Linked DNA regions of Styela clava. The protein of the gene in region 2 binds, or shares a complex with, the protein of the main gene of each other region. Links are inferred from orthologs where the notes say so. Each region holds a gene or a part of one and is shown on either strand. Other genes may lie near its edges.

Region 1 (7,681 bases), on a different chromosome or scaffold from region 2:
TGATTGATGATGTCTATTTAAATAAATAGCAATGCCCTTTTGTGCACCCCGAAAAAGCTTGAGAAACTCAGCACTACCATTATATCCCAATTTCAAATCTTCATGCTGCTGCCACACAAGCAAACTGCCGAAAATAAAACAGAATTCACATTTACTACTTTTAATAAAGCTTCGAATATTTGTAAGAAATAAATAAAACATTACAAGTATTTTACTAAATATTCACTCAATTATTTAATGAACAAATATTAAAGTGTAAAGCACATGATCCATAGAACGATTCCAAAATCAGAAAAACATTTATTGTTCAAGTTATAAGAAAAATAAATAGTTTGAATTATGAAACATTGTATGTCACCTACTAGGAAATACAATAATGGCACAGTTTTTCACTGTATTTGCAAGGTTTTTGGAGGGCAGAATAAGAATTATATAATTTGATTTACAGCCTATTTTTTGAAACTGGAAATTGACAAGCACAAAAACGATGCAATGTTTACAACCATGCTCGAAGCGGCTGCACAAATTGCCATTGTCACATCATCGTTGACTTATTGCTGATTGGTCATGGTTCGGAAATAAACAAGGAAATCTATGCTCTGGAGAAACGTCCATTCATATGATTTTGGCAAGACCAGGCCTGTCTAGTAAGAGTTACGTTGCACACGTATTCTCAAAGTTAAAATTTTGTCTAATTCAATTTACCCAGCTGCATAAACTGACTGTTTTTGTTTCGTTTATGGTGGTAAACCAGACACAAAAAAATTTATGTTATAATCCTTGTAAGTGCAAGAATAAAAATAACAAGTGTTGCCAAACATGAACCAACTATAAGGTGTGGAATTTGGGCATGATTAATCAAAGTAACATGCATGGCGAGGGATAATTGATTCCCCTAGAGGCAAATTTCCTAAGGCAAGGTAAAAGAGACCAACTTTGAACAAAGTTACAAGAAACCATTAAAATTTCAAGAGATATTGAAACTATATAGTATTATACATCATAGTGACGCAATTTTTGACATAGTCAGGTGGGGGTTAGGAATAACACATGCAAAAATGGTTGTGCCACGCCAACTAAAAGCACATACATCGTGTTATGAACATGGCCAAAATGTCCATGTTTAGAGGAATTTCTATTAGGGTGAAATTGGGCTTTCTCAGAGAAAAAGTAGGAGAATAATAAAAGTTTTAAGTGAAATCAATCTTTTTGAAGTGAAATTAAAAATTTTGAGATTCTAAAATACCAACGTTGCTTCTATTACATCCTAAAAACTCCGAATTTCGTATTTGGTATCTGAGCGTTCAGAGTTGCATGTAGACTCAGTCCAACGACCATTCTTGTATCAGTCGGATCAATAACACCATCATCCCAAAGTCGAGCGCTCGAAAAATATGGATTCCCTTCCTTTTCAAAACGAGATATAATCGGGTCTTTCAATGCTTTTTCCTCCTCTGCTGAAAAAGTTTTTCCTTCACGTTCTCTTTGATCTTTTGTTATTGTTGCTAAAACCGTTGCGGCTTGCTCTCCCCCCATCACAGAAATTCGTGCGTTCGGCCACATGTATAAGAACCTAGGACCGTAAGCCCGTCCACACATTCCATAGTTGCCAGCACCATATGATCCCCCAATTATGACAGTGATTTTCGGAACTTGAGCGCATGCAACTGCTGTCACCATTTTTGCTCCGTCCTTTGCAATGCCGCCCTCCTCTGCCTCTCGACCAACCATAAATCCGGTTATATTTTGAAGAAATAAAAGCGGAATTTTACGTTGACAACACAACTCGATAAAATGTGTTCCCTTTAGTGCTGATTCAGAAAACAAAACACCGTTGTTTCCAATAATCCCAACAGGAACACCGAAAATACGAGAAAATCCACAAACTAATGTATCCCCGTATAATTTCTTAAATTCGTGAAATTTACTGCCGTCAACGATCCTGGCAATGACCTCTCGTACATCGAAAGTCCGTTTCAAATTGCTTCCAACGATTCCGTAAAGCTCTTCAGGGTCGTATAACGGATCTTCCGGTGCTTTTAAAGTCGTTGTAACATCTTTCTCTCGATTTAAATTTTCGACGATTCCTCGTGCAATATGTAACGCGTGTGCGTCATCCAACGCATAATGATCAGTCACGCCTGAATGCTTGCAATGCAAATCAGCGCCACCTAGATCTTCTGGTGACACTTTTTCACCTGTCGCTGCGTAGACCAATGGAGGACCTCCAAGAAAAATTGTCCCTTGTTTTTTTACAATCACGCTTTCATCTGACATCGCGGGCACATAAGCGCCACCTGCTGTGCACGAACCCATTACGACAGCAATCTGAGGAATTCCTTGCGCTGACATGGAAGCCTGATTAAAAAATATTCGTCCGAAATGATCACGATCTGGAAAAACATCTGCTTGTCGAGGCAAGTTTGCACCGCCTGAGTCAACCAGATATACACAAGTTAAATTGTTTTCTTTAGCAATTGTTTGAGCCCTCACATGCTTCTGTACTGTGATAGGATAATATGCTCCTCCTTTTACTGTCGCATCGTTTGCGATGACCATACATTCCTGCCCCATTATTCGCCCAATTCCAGTTATAATCCCCCCCGCCGGGACTTTTTCTTTTCCATATAAATCATACCCAGCAAGTTGTGAAAATTCTAAAAATGGAGATCCAGGGTCCAACAATTCTTGGATTCGTTCTCGTACTAGTAATTTTCCTCGCGATGTATGTCGGTTGCGAGCATTCTCATCACCACCGTGTGAAATATTTTCAATGTTTTCCTTCAATTCTGTAACAAGTTTTTTCATACTCGCTTCATTCTCGAGAAATATTTCCGATTTTACGTCCGGATCTGACCCAACTGGTAACATAGCTGAATGGTATCTTGTATATAAACCATTACTATGACCCAAATTCCTGTGCAGCAAACTGAAACATTTTTTCAAAACTCTTTGGCACAATGCCATAACGCTGTAATTCGTATCACAACACCTAGATTACAAAACTGCAATACAGAAAAAATTGAAGATGAAAAAAGCACACATAAGAAAGCATGAACAGTGAGTAAACTCTGAATAACAGAATAAGCTTTTCAAATTTATTTAGGAACAGGAAAGACGATTTCATGACTTGTTAATCATAAAGCAACCTATGGTCCAGTAACTAACCAGCCCATGCAGTACAGCAGTAAGGCGAAATTCTTAAATTTCAAGATTCTCGATATTCTGACAGTGGTTTCACTAGAGGTATTTTTCTCTGAAATGAGGGGGTCTGTCACAAAATATGCTAGTCTCTATAATAAATCAATCGTGACGTGCATCCATCGTCACATGCTGACATGAATGACCAAAAGTGCGTTTTTTTTTCTCTAAAAACTCTCGAATGCTATGGTAATATTTTTTCCTTTGGTAAATTGTATAATTTTTTGGGGGACTTCAATTGAGACAGTTCTAGATTGCGCTTTCTTTTACTTTATTGCGCATTTGATTCGAGTCGATATGGAGACCAAGGCTCTCTCGTATTGAAGTGGTTGCTAGTATGATATGACTAATAATTTTTATTTCATCGTCTTTTATTAGTGATAATTCCCATTTTCTTCTTTATTTGAAGTGCCAAGCATATGTCAGTATGTAGGGATCAAACTCTTGCGACTCCTTTTAATACAGTAACACCGTACTACATATTAGGTACAGTATTAAACGTCATTATTAGGTTTACTAGTTATGTAATTGCATCTTGCATTTTCCGAATAACCGGTACCGGTACTTACCAACATTCAAAGTTAGGTACCGTTACCATCTTGATTATCAGCTAAAATACAGCCTTAGAATAGGGTTGGATTTTACATATTTATCCCGGGGGAGAGGAAAAAAACTGCAAGTCTGGTTGTGTTTCAGATATTTAAATATATCAAATAATTCAATGATCACTTTGTCTTCTTAGGAGTTTCAGTTTAATTGCAGTAATCAAAAATATCCTATCCTAGTGTAGAAATAGCTGTTATAGACTAGGCTAAAATTCTTTACCGGTACTTTTAAAAAACAAATTGTTGAATGCTATGAGTCAGAATGATGGTTTGAAACAAAAATACCCCGGTCAACTGACAAAACCACTCTTAAATAAGCACCGAAAATTTTCACTGTTAAAGTATAGGAAGAATTTCACGGGGGTCAAAGGACAGGGGGAAGTTCAAAAATCGCGTTATCCGATCACATATCATTATCATGGTGCTTTTACTTGACGGCATCCGGAGACGAAGCCATAAAGTTTTACGCGCTTATTCGGCGCGTGGAAGGTCACGCCTATTAGTCGTCGTTTTTTACACATTCCAAAGCAGGAGGTTTCGACCCGCAGAACCATGGCTACGCCCCTGGGCACATCGTGCTAATCGTTGGGAATACGCTCGCCGTCGCCATCTGATTTCCTTGCGGGGGTTCGGAGCTCATGCGGGGTAAATTTCATGCGAGAGGATTACTGGATGCAAGAAATTTAAATCACCTTAAATAATCACTTTCGTCTTGTTGAACAGCTCAATAGTACAGGCTTTGGTTTCAAGGCAAGTTGAAATTAATTAATATTGAAGTTGGGGGAAATGGGTCTCTTGTACGAAGCGCCCGCCACTAATGCAAAAATGTTAAATTTAAGAAATGCACTCTCTGCTGAAATTCCGAATTAGTATTTAGTTGGGGTTCGGGATAAGAATGATGTGATATCACAGTTACTATTTCCATTTTCTTGGATAGTATCGAATTTAATGGACCTTTCCCCGAGCATTGACTTCCTTGTTCACTTCGTGACATTGGCCAATCAGCAAGATGCAAAAAGTGACGTAACAATGCCCCCTTTTCGCATTCGCTCAGACACTTTTCTCACTCAGACAGATTTTCAAGCGTGGTTGTAAACATTACCTCGTTTTCGCGATTTTGAACTCTATTCGTTAGTTTTCAGTTGTGTTCAGGAAACTTAAATATAAATCAGATAATTCAGTGATCACACTGTCTTCCTAGTAGCTTTAATTTAATTGCATCCAAACTTTTGAATTGTAAAAATAATACCAATATGTTTTCCCATTGCCGGTTCAACAGTGTCAGACACCATGGATCTTTCCCCGACCTTTGACCCTCGGACAATTCTCCCTATACTTTACCATTGCAAAATTTTCAGAGCTATTTTAAGAGTGCTTTTGCGAGTTGGCGCCTCTAAAATGGGGTATGTGTTTCAAAACATCATTATGATTCATCGCATACAACAATCTGTTTTTTAAAAGAACCGGTAAAGAATTTCAGGCTAGTCTATCACAGCTATTTTTACACTAATTTTTATTACTGCATTTTGAACGAATGTTTAAAATCAATCTAAATTTTTCCACGAGCAGGAAGAGAACAAAATGCCTTGGTGCGGCCCGCAGTATTTCTATATCTGGTTTATGGCGAAGATTTGAGCTCTTATTTAGAGACTATGGTAGCGCGGAATTCACGGCCTAAGCCTTTTTCACTAATTTTAAACAATTTCCAAAGTATTTTCACAGCCGAGCTCTCTCGTACTCAATTGCACAAAAATACAACTTAACCGCGAAAGCAATCGAATAGAATGCAAATAACAACAATATCCAAGCATTGAGGTAGGTTTTCGTGAAATATTTTCGGTGTGATACAGAATTATGGGTCACCTTTAATCACCATTATTATTTTATCATTATACCCCCAGTGTTATTGTGCTAGGTACAAACAACAGTGGCGTGTCTGGGTAAAGTGGAGACCACGACAAAAATTTAAAATGCGAACCCAGTCTTTGAGAAACAATCTGCACGTTTTTTAAAGAAAGGCTTTTGTTAGTGGGTCAATACAGACGAGAAACTTTCGTTTCATTTTCAATCCCATCACTGCCTAATATCGATATCTAATCATATGGTTGAATTACGTAGACGCATTTAGGGTGCGATATACAATTATGGGTTTCGCTTATATAGGCCGGTAAAGATACCAGGGTTAAGTAATTGTTGTGATAACAGTATTGTGTTAATTGGGTACTAACAAGCAATAGAAACACACCTCATCATCACATAAATATGTTTAGATAGCAGAATTTAAACCTAAATAACCCTAACAAAAATATTCAAATCGTAGGGTAGGGTTGGGTAGACATATTTAGGCTATTACAGTTAACTGCAACACACCTTTTTAACAATAATATATACGTGTCTAGTGGGTTTGACAAGCCCTAAAAATTAGATTACGTTTGCCAAGCCGAAGAGGGGCCATTTATATGCCTTCCATAGGCTGATGTGTATTAGTCTGAATGTCATGTATTAACCCGCTACACAGCTGTTAAAGATTGCAATGTGATTCATGCGGCAGACTTATATCTACTTGGAATAGTAAAATATTCTGTACTACCGTCGTGTGTGTACAAGGTTAGGTCATAAGTGTTAGGTCATAATTGTATTCCGATTTATCTTATTTTAGTTCTATTACGAGTTCGGGGACTGTATGTGTTAGCCAAGTGAATATACCCCCTGCCGGTGGTTTCAGTCCGTTTACACAACTTGATGTAAAGTAGGCAACTAAAATTAGTTACCTCCATATTGGTACACATACTTCTGAAGCGCCAAAATTTTCGCTCTGATCAAGGAATTCCTTTTTCTTTTATTTTGCGGAGCTTTTATTCGTAACGCTGTTCCCTCACGAAGTTGACTAGAAATGTTTCTTCAAGTCTGCATTGACCAGTCTATCTGCTGGTATTTTTGTAGCAAAGCTATAAAGTTCATGTACCTTCTTTTATCCATGGGTGGGCAAATTTTACCCACCTAGACCGGCGGGCCATGTAAGTGTGACGTAAAAAGTTACATTTTAGGAACATAATTTACAGTGTTACAAAAGCAAACGGGAAAAACAATACTCCTCGTGCCAAAACTAAATTTAATCGCAATCTCACCAAATTCTTTGGGCTATTTTTTAGCTAAAACATCAAAATTTGATTTTGGTTTGGTTGTGGCCTTAGTTTGCCGATGTCAGTTCGTTCTATACCTTTTGTAGCCTATCTTAGATCGCCCGATTTCTCAGAGATGACTACCTTTCAGTATAATTCCCAGATTTTTTAATGTTAAGGGCGGTGTTTCCAAATTCAGGATGTTGTAGAAATTGTGTTACTGGCAATAAGACTATTTGTAACTTATAAAATTGTGTTTGATATTTGACTTACCTGGACTGGTAAATACGCCACTTTCTAGATATTCAAATACAATTTTATTCACGTTAAGAATTAAAATGCGGATTCACAGCACTTTATTAGGGGAAAGGGGCCGGGTTAAAATTATAGGGGAGGGGGAGGTTAGGGGGTGCACCCTTGGAAGAGGGGTCACTGCGGCGGTTATAATTTGCGGTGCTGATAATTTTTTAAATTACGTAAATGTTAACACGCCAGTTGTCGCTGGGAACCATTCTCTGAATTATCTGTTGTTGCTGAAGACTCGGGACTTTAATCTGAGCATACTTGTCAAAAATCATGATCACATTCAAAATCAAATACTGACTAGATGGATTTGTTTTGTCATAAATGGGTTAATACTCTATTCATGCGTCACAAAGCATGATGAGTCGAACGTTACGGTTGCCTGCTAATGACAACCGGTTATCGTACACGTTTTTAACAAAGCGAAGGTAATTTGTGTTTACGAGAAAT
Region 2 (7,847 bases):
ACCTAACCCTAACCTGGTACACATACTATATTCTGGTGTCCGCCATCTTGGTTCACATACTACATGAGCGCCTAATTTTGTCTATATATGCATTGTTCCTTGCTTGCGATTTTCTGAAGCATAAGTTAAGTGTGACGTTTCCATTTCGCATATCAGGTACGAGCCCAGAATGTCTTGAAAGCAAAGCGGGAAACTGGCATTACCAGTGGAGAGAATGTAACAAATATGTTCACACAACGACAGTTTCAAGAATTAAAAAATGAATTAGAAGAAGTTAGAGAGAGGCATTTTCATCTCCGATCACATTGCGATGGCTTGGAAGAGCAACAAAATAAATTGGTGAGGAATTATTTGAAATTGACAGTCTTTTTCATATTTAAATGCAAAGTTGTGTTACATAAATCTAGGTCGTACATTCAAAATAAATAATTTGGCAATCAATACCATACTTGTTAAACATCCGATTTAACGCCGGAGAACAAATCGCCCAATGAAGCAAATTAGCTACGTCTTTTGGTAACGAAGCAGATGCACTGAGTGCCGACGAAGAAGTAACAAAACAACCATAAATTCATTAAGCAGTCAAGTAGTTGAATGCTCAAAAAATTTGGTTATTGATTGCCACTCCTCTGCCGGATGCACAATTTTTCCTTATGGGCCGCATTTGGCCCGCGGACCACAGTTTGCACTCCTTTGGTTTAAAATATTGAAATTAGATGTCATTTATATCAATCTAGATAAAAGAGCAAGGTGAAGAATTGTTACGTTGTCATCTTTCCCATCAAAATGAATTGAAATTGGAAAAAGAAAATTATTCTGCAAGAGTACTCGATTTAGAGCAAGAAATGAGGTCACAGAGGGAAAGAACAGTTATGTTATTGGCAGAAAAAGACAAGGAAATTCAAAGTCTACAAGCCTATTCTACTGCTTGCCATAGGTGGGTGCAGATTACATCTAAAGTAACATGGGTTTCTCTCACTTTTGTCACTGTTCATATTTGGATGTTTAGAGAGTATCAGTCGGAATATGGCGGAATTGGTGAACCCAATCAAGAAACATCTACTAGTAGTGACAATACTCACTATGGACATGATAAATTAAAAGAAACACAAGATTCCGTCTTCGAAATAGTGAATCAGGTTAAAAGTATAATGGTACATTAAATTATAAATGACGTTAATACTCATTTCTGCCATCGTGGTTTGATGTTTACGTTTGGTTGACAAGCCAAAGCTTTTTGTGACACTATACTATGTCATCTAATAAGATTCAATTAAGAATCTTACTATATTCATTTTGTATCATATTTTTCAATATCAATCACCTGGCCAATTTTTTTTTTTATTCGATTAGGAAATAGAGAAAATGGACTCAGATTGATATGTAATTGATTAGTGATGATCTTTTGTAGGAAAAATTGATATTGATATGCAACAAGGTTATATATCTTTTTAATAGATTTGGTCCAATGGGGGCCCACTTTAGGATCAATAGTTTTTTTAGTGAAAGAATAAATATCCTGAAGAAGATCAGTTATTATTCATTTCATTTTTGTGCAAATATTGTAACATTCCCCTTGTTCAACAGAGAAAAAAATGTTTCGACATATATATAACATGATATTATTTCTAGGGCTCCATGCATGACACAACAATGATCCATTATGCTGAGCAGATGGCAAGAAAGGATGTTTTGATAAATGGTCTTAGACGACATAAAAAACAATTAGAGTTACAAATAAGGCAATTGCAGGATGCCATCATGACTAAGTATGCAATTAACTTGCCACCTTTGTAAATTGTAATTTCAATCATTCTATGTGTATTTTTCGAATCACATGATTACTCTTGAATAGTGTGTATTTCTTCATTAAGTCAGCTTTCTAATAATAGTATTGTTGATAAATTCTCAGGGTGTTAGTATCACACTTACTACCCTATTATATTTACAGTCTATTGGGTTCATGCTTTACTCCTTGTATGTACTTTAATGGATGTTAGCATTTTTACCTAATGTTAGGATACTAGCATGTACAAAGTTTTTACATGAGTTAGAATTTTATGAACCTGTCAACTTCAGTAGTGCAAATGAGAAAAATACAAAGTAGTCTAAATAGTAATGAAGCTAGCCGGTTTCATTTTAATCTATGATTATTAATATTCAGAGATGAGAAGAACTCAAGAGGAATTGCAGAACTTCAGGAGAAAATTGCGAATTTTGATAGAAGCAAGTATGACAAATATTAACTAAGATTTGAACATTACAGTCCTATGAAATAAATAATAAATATGTATGCCGTGCCGGAAATCATTTTTTTTTCATCAGCTAATTGATTGACCAATTTATTTTGTAGTTTTAATGATTTTTTCTCCCAATGTTTTTTTCTTTCGTACCTTACGCACCACCATGTGGCATTCTATCAGATTGTTTTGGCATATTTTCTAAAAACCAATTCTTATGGACCCAACGCGACTTGATTTAAAACATTTAGAATAGATTATTGATACCAGCAAATTTTATCTTTTGAGCTAATTTTACAGGTCCAGAGAAAATGCGAATCTGGAGTACCTTAAGAATGTCATGTACCAATACCTGACAACAAACCGGAACCAGTCAGCAAAATCGCGAATGCTAGGAGCCGTCACTACAATACTGCAATTCAGTCCAGACGAAATCAAAAACGTCCGCAAGAAATTTTGAAAAAAAAAACTTTTATGGCAGTTTTCTCATTTCTACAAAATTTTGTGTTTCAACATGTTCGGGAATCTTTCAATCATGTCTGATGATCATATATATCGATGTTCAAAGTCTGCATATCAAATATAAGGACTGAAATTATTATGGAAACTTATCTTGTGCAATAAATATCCTATATTTTATCTGTGTGTTGTCTATCTGTCGCGATTAAATTTTGTTTTCATATTTGGCAGTGAAGGTGACAAACTGGAAAAATACACGCAATTTGCTTCAAGGGTAGATAGTTTCAATAGATTGTTTGTTGCCCAATCTTTTTTCTAGGAATATTGTTGAATTAGGTTATTGACAAGGCAGAAAAATACTGAAATTGGTAGAAAAGAGCTGAAATTGTTTTTGAACAAAGTTTTAAACGTGTTTGCCTGAAATGGGTGCAAATCATAGTGCTTTTTGTGTTATAACCTGGCTTTTTTGATCACTGGGATCTGGCAAACATGGATTTCGTAGTGAGACTGTAGTTTCATTTGGATATCTATTATTATTACAGTAAGACTTTATTTAACAACTTCATGATGCCTGAACAAATGTTATTCAGTAACTTTTCCTGGGACTTCAATATCAGTCTAGCCTTTTCCAGGAAAAAGAATTGTAAATCTGACGTGTTTAAATATACCTGTGGGCATATGTTAATAAGGGCATTGGAAAATTATAAATTGATATATTTTAAAGTGAATAATGATAAAATCCTTCAATATTGTGATAATGTATGTGCAGTTACATGTGAAATACTGCTGATATTTTCAATAATTATGTTTACAGAGACTCTCAATACCTTATTTAGTCAATTCTAATGGATTAAGGTTTTTTGTCTAATTTTCAGCAAAATGATAAACAACCATCAATATAGATAAAATTGTTACCCGAGAAGTTCAATCTTGAATTTGGGAAGGTCACAAATTCGGGACTACTTCGAAGACATTATCGCTTCGAGCTACCTGTACCATGTTTCTGTGATCAACAACTCACCAGATTCAAATTGATTCTATTTATAGAACTACCGTTTTCTGTTGATACTAATTTTGCTTTTTTCTCATTGTGTACTCGAAAACGTTATATTAAATGTTACTCTGGATAATAACTTTTCAGTTATGATCATGCATGAAATAGCCAATCATTTTCCACCGATCATTCTATGAGAGACACATTTTTAACCCAAAATGAAAGCGAGAGAAATATAGGCGATCGCGATTTTAGAAGGGACATAGCCATTTCATTGGGGACAGCGGTTATAGCCATTTTAGTAGGAACCTGGAACATGTCGGGATCTCGATTTTGGAGAGGACATATCCATTTTAGTAGGAACATATCGGGGATCGCGATTTTAGAAGAGACATACCGGTAGCCATTCCATTAGGGACATTCGGTACGGTACCCGTACCGGAAATCGTTATTATAGTGGGGGCTTAGAACCTGGAACATGTCGGGATCTCGATTTTGGAGAGGACATATCCATTTTAGTAGGAACATATCGGGGATCGCGATTTTAGAAGAGACATACCGGTAGCCATTCCATTAGGGACATACGGTACCGGTAGCCTACCCGTACCGGAAATCGTTATTATAGTGGGGACTTAGCCATTTTAGTAGAAAAATATCGGGATCATGGAAGTCGAAACATAGTCTAGCTATTTTAGTAGGGAAATATCGGGATTTTAGAAAGGACATAGACTACAGACATACCGTAGCTGCATAGCGGACATCGTCATTTTAGTGAGGACATAGCCATTTTAGTATGGGCATAACCATTTTAGTAGGAACACATCGTGATTTTAGACGGGACATTGCCTTTTTAGTATGGACATATCGAGATTTTAGAAAGGACACAGTCTACCGTAATCATTGTAGTGAGGACATATCGGTACCGGTACGTGCATGGACTTCGCTGGCTTCATGAAAGTTCAGAAGTTTCTGTGTTAGGAAGAAGGCATTGTTTATTTAGCATCGCAGCAATGAATTTTCTGCAAACAACGGGATTTCACTTACGCACTTTGGTTGCACTTAGCCAGTCGGTACCGTGCATACCGGTACAGACATACGGTAATACTGTACGATACTAGAGTAAATTAAATACCGGTATTTCCTGATTTCTAGGTGTTATTTTCTATTACAGTATTATAATGTGTTTTTACACAAATATCTGAATACAATCTGCAGTACTGTGGGATGAAAGACACCTGACCATGCATCGATTTCGTGTTCGTCTAAAAAACTTTACTACCAACATCCATCGTGGTGCTTATCAGAATAAACATGGGTCTTTATGGTACTCGAGCAGTTCGAAAAATGTGCAACTGGAGAATGAAATGTCGACTCGAAATATAAGAAAACTAGTAATAGCTAATAGGGGTGAAATAGCATGTAGAGTTATGAAGACCGCAAAAAGGTAAGATAAATCAGAATGCATGGTGTCATCTTCTATATGTCTTATTATTAATGGTTAGTACAATTTACATCTACACCTGAGTACTAACAGGACTGCTAGCATTATTATCAAAGATGAAAGGTAATCTGTGTCTCAATTACGAAATTTGCCAAAGATTTGATACATTTGTTTGTTTCCTTGCTTTGATTCTATTTGAATGCAATATCACATCGTCATACCTAAAATTTACTTATTTGTTCATTATATGGACTGAGTGCAATACACCTTCAGCATAACATTTATATTATATTTTTTACAATATTGTATCAGGAATTGTTTGGAGATTTTGATTTGATGAAGCTTAGTTTCTATTTATTTTAGAATGGGAATTTCAACTGTAGCAGTTTACAGTGAGCCTGACAAACATCAACTACATGTTGAAGTGGCAGATGAAGCATATTGTATTGGACCTGCAGCCTCGCAGCTTAGCTATCTAAATACGGAAAATATATTTAATGTAAATTATTTTATTATTTGATATGTTTAATTCAATTCTATTGAAAGTGTATGGTATAGAATATATTAAATTCCTTATGATTTTACCTTTTCTGCACCACACAAGAACAGATGAATTTCTCTATAAAAAATTAATTCATATGAATTGTTTTTAGTTGTGCAACATATCTCAATTTTCACATACATCAATGGCAATGACTCTTTAATTTTGTAGATTAGAATAAAGTGTGAAATGGGGTTTGTATCATTTATATATACCGGACTTTTAGTACAATGCAATTTTGAGGATATGGATAAATGTGATTATCAAGCCAATGCAAACCCCTATTGTTGAGGTTATTTATTATTGGTAGTCTTTTAATATTAATATCTTTTCAGGTGATTCGCACAAGTGGCGCTGAGGCTGTTCATCCTGGTTATGGGTTTCTTTCAGAAAATGCTGAATTTGCTGATGCTTGTGAAAGTAAAGGTGTAATATTTGTTGGACCACCTTCATCTGCAATTAGGGACATGGGTATAAAAAGCACATCTAAGAAGATTATGTCATCTGCAGGAGTACCCATTATTGAAGGTATTTTTATTGCAATGAAATATGGAAATAATGTTCACTGATATACGTTTGTACAGGATGGACCTAGTCTTCATAACATTTCAGTCTCCTACATATCTTGTTTGTAAACGACCTAGCTAGAAGAATCTGAAAACTTATTGTATAAAGCAAATGAACTATATTTTTAATCAAGATATTTATTTTGAAAAATGAATACCCTAATTTTTTTTTTTAAATGGTAATCTGAGTCTGACATGTTTACAAGATCTTTCCGTTCTTTCATCAATTACTTCTTCCCAATATACGATTGATTATTCAACTAAATTAAACACAAAATCTCATTCAGGTATTGTAGAGTGTTCAGCTTTGTAACTAATTTCTATGCTAACATTTTTACCTTGATAACTTCCTCAGATGCAAATTTTTATTGGTATTTCATTTATTATGTATTAAGGTTATCATGGAGAAAACCAAGATGATTCTTTTTTACTGAAAAAAGCACAAGAAATTGGATTTCCTGTCATGATCAAGGCAGTTAGAGGCGGAGGTGGTAAGGGAATGAGAATTGCAGAAACAGAAAGTGAATTTCAGGAACAACTTGAGTCAGCAAGACGTGAATCCAAAAAATCTTTCAATGATGATATAGTTTTGATTGAAAAATTTGTAGAAAGACCAAGACATGTTGAAGTTCAGGTATTGCATTGTCAATGTTAACACAGTACCAAGTTCAATACTATCAAATCTATAGTAGATTACCAAAACCACAATATTGCTAGAATGTTTGTGCTGCGAATGATCTTCATGATCATGGTTTTGTTATATATTGTGTTATATATTATCAACAGGTATTCGGGGATAGTCATGGAAATGCTGTTTATTTGTTTGAAAGAGACTGCAGTGTTCAAAGGCGGCATCAAAAAATTATAGAAGAGGCTCCTGCTCCTAATATATTAGAAAAGACTCAAAAACGAATGGGTGAGGCAGCAGTGCGTGCTGCTCTGGCTGTTGGATATGTTGGAGCAGGAACGGTGGAATTTGTTATGGACCCTAATGAAAATTTTTTTTTTATGGAGATGAATACCAGATTACAGGTTGGTATAGTTTCAATGTTTAGTATTGCAAACTTCCTTTTAATGGGAATAGCATGGAAATCATTTCATTTTTGTGTAATTGGAATCGTTTTGGGATACACAATGACTTGAGAGAAAACTGGGCAGGACCAATTTGACTTATTGTTTTTTTTTAAGTATCTTATCCAGGTGTTCTCACTAATTTTATGAACATCGCAAATTTTAACAAATCCATTTACATGACATGTTTAATGAGCCAATTGAGAAAGCAATTGGACAGAATGTAACATACATTTTCAGAGTAGTAATTTTTTATTAGTTTGCCTGAGTGTTTTTCTTCCTATTCAGGTTGAACATCCTGTGACGGAAATGATATCTTCAACTGACTTAGTAGAATGGCAACTTCGAGTTGCTCAAGGTGAAAAAATCCCGATGAATCAGGTATAATAGTCGTTTAAACTTAGAATAATCCACAATTAGTTTTTTTTTCCTTCCAGTGGAAAACCCAAGAGATCATTTTAATATGCATTAGTAGCACGTTTCTCAACCAGAAAAATTTGCTTTGTAGAAGGAATTTTTGTATTTTCCATGGTAT

The links. The genes of interacting proteins can lie anywhere in the genome.
Region 1: the proteins of methylcrotonoyl-CoA carboxylase subunit alpha, mitochondrial-like (region 2) and methylcrotonoyl-CoA carboxylase beta chain, mitochondrial-like are in contact, whole or in part, in a cryo-EM structure (PDB 8JXM), measured with the Homo sapiens proteins. The link is inferred for Styela clava from reciprocal best matches to the Homo sapiens genes MCCC1 and MCCC2. Residues at the interface, in NP_064551.3 of Homo sapiens: Glu519, Phe526, His531, Asp532, Phe534, Ser535, Pro536, Phe537, Ser538, Ser539, Ser540, Ser541, Gly542, Arg543, Arg544, Leu545, Asn546, Ile547, Tyr549, Thr550, Arg551, Tyr568, Tyr636, Leu637, Ser641, Glu644; in NP_071415.1 of Homo sapiens: Leu56, His57, Val60, Glu61, Lys64, Asp88, Ile91, Pro93, Gly94, Ser95, Pro96, Phe97, Leu98, Glu99, Gln102, Ile123, Gly124, Arg125, Gly128, Glu130, Arg234, Trp276, Leu278, His281, His282, His285, Lys298, Lys299, Leu300, Ile304.

Annotation. Positions count from the first base shown.
Region 1 is NC_135263.1:886,042-893,722, reverse strand, and holds methylcrotonoyl-CoA carboxylase beta chain, mitochondrial-like, read right to left. Parts: upstream 3,002-7,681; 5' UTR 2,968-3,001; coding exon 1,261-2,967; 3' UTR 145-1,260; downstream 1-144. UniProt on the Homo sapiens protein: Carboxyltransferase subunit of the 3-methylcrotonyl-CoA carboxylase, an enzyme that catalyzes the conversion of 3-methylcrotonyl-CoA to 3-methylglutaconyl-CoA, a critical step for leucine and isovaleric acid catabolism.
Region 2 is NC_135252.1:3,471,631-3,479,477, forward strand, and holds the start of methylcrotonoyl-CoA carboxylase subunit alpha, mitochondrial-like, read left to right. Parts: upstream 1-4,823; 5' UTR 4,824-4,934; coding exon 4,935-5,137; intron 5,138-5,497; coding exon 5,498-5,633; intron 5,634-6,010; coding exon 6,011-6,203; intron 6,204-6,636; coding exon 6,637-6,875; intron 6,876-7,027; coding exon 7,028-7,273; intron 7,274-7,600; coding exon 7,601-7,693; intron 7,694-7,847. Other genes in the region: GRIP and coiled-coil domain-containing protein 1-like, read left to right, coding at 157-339, 738-937, 1,010-1,139, 1,633-1,769, 2,165-2,230, 2,541-2,700.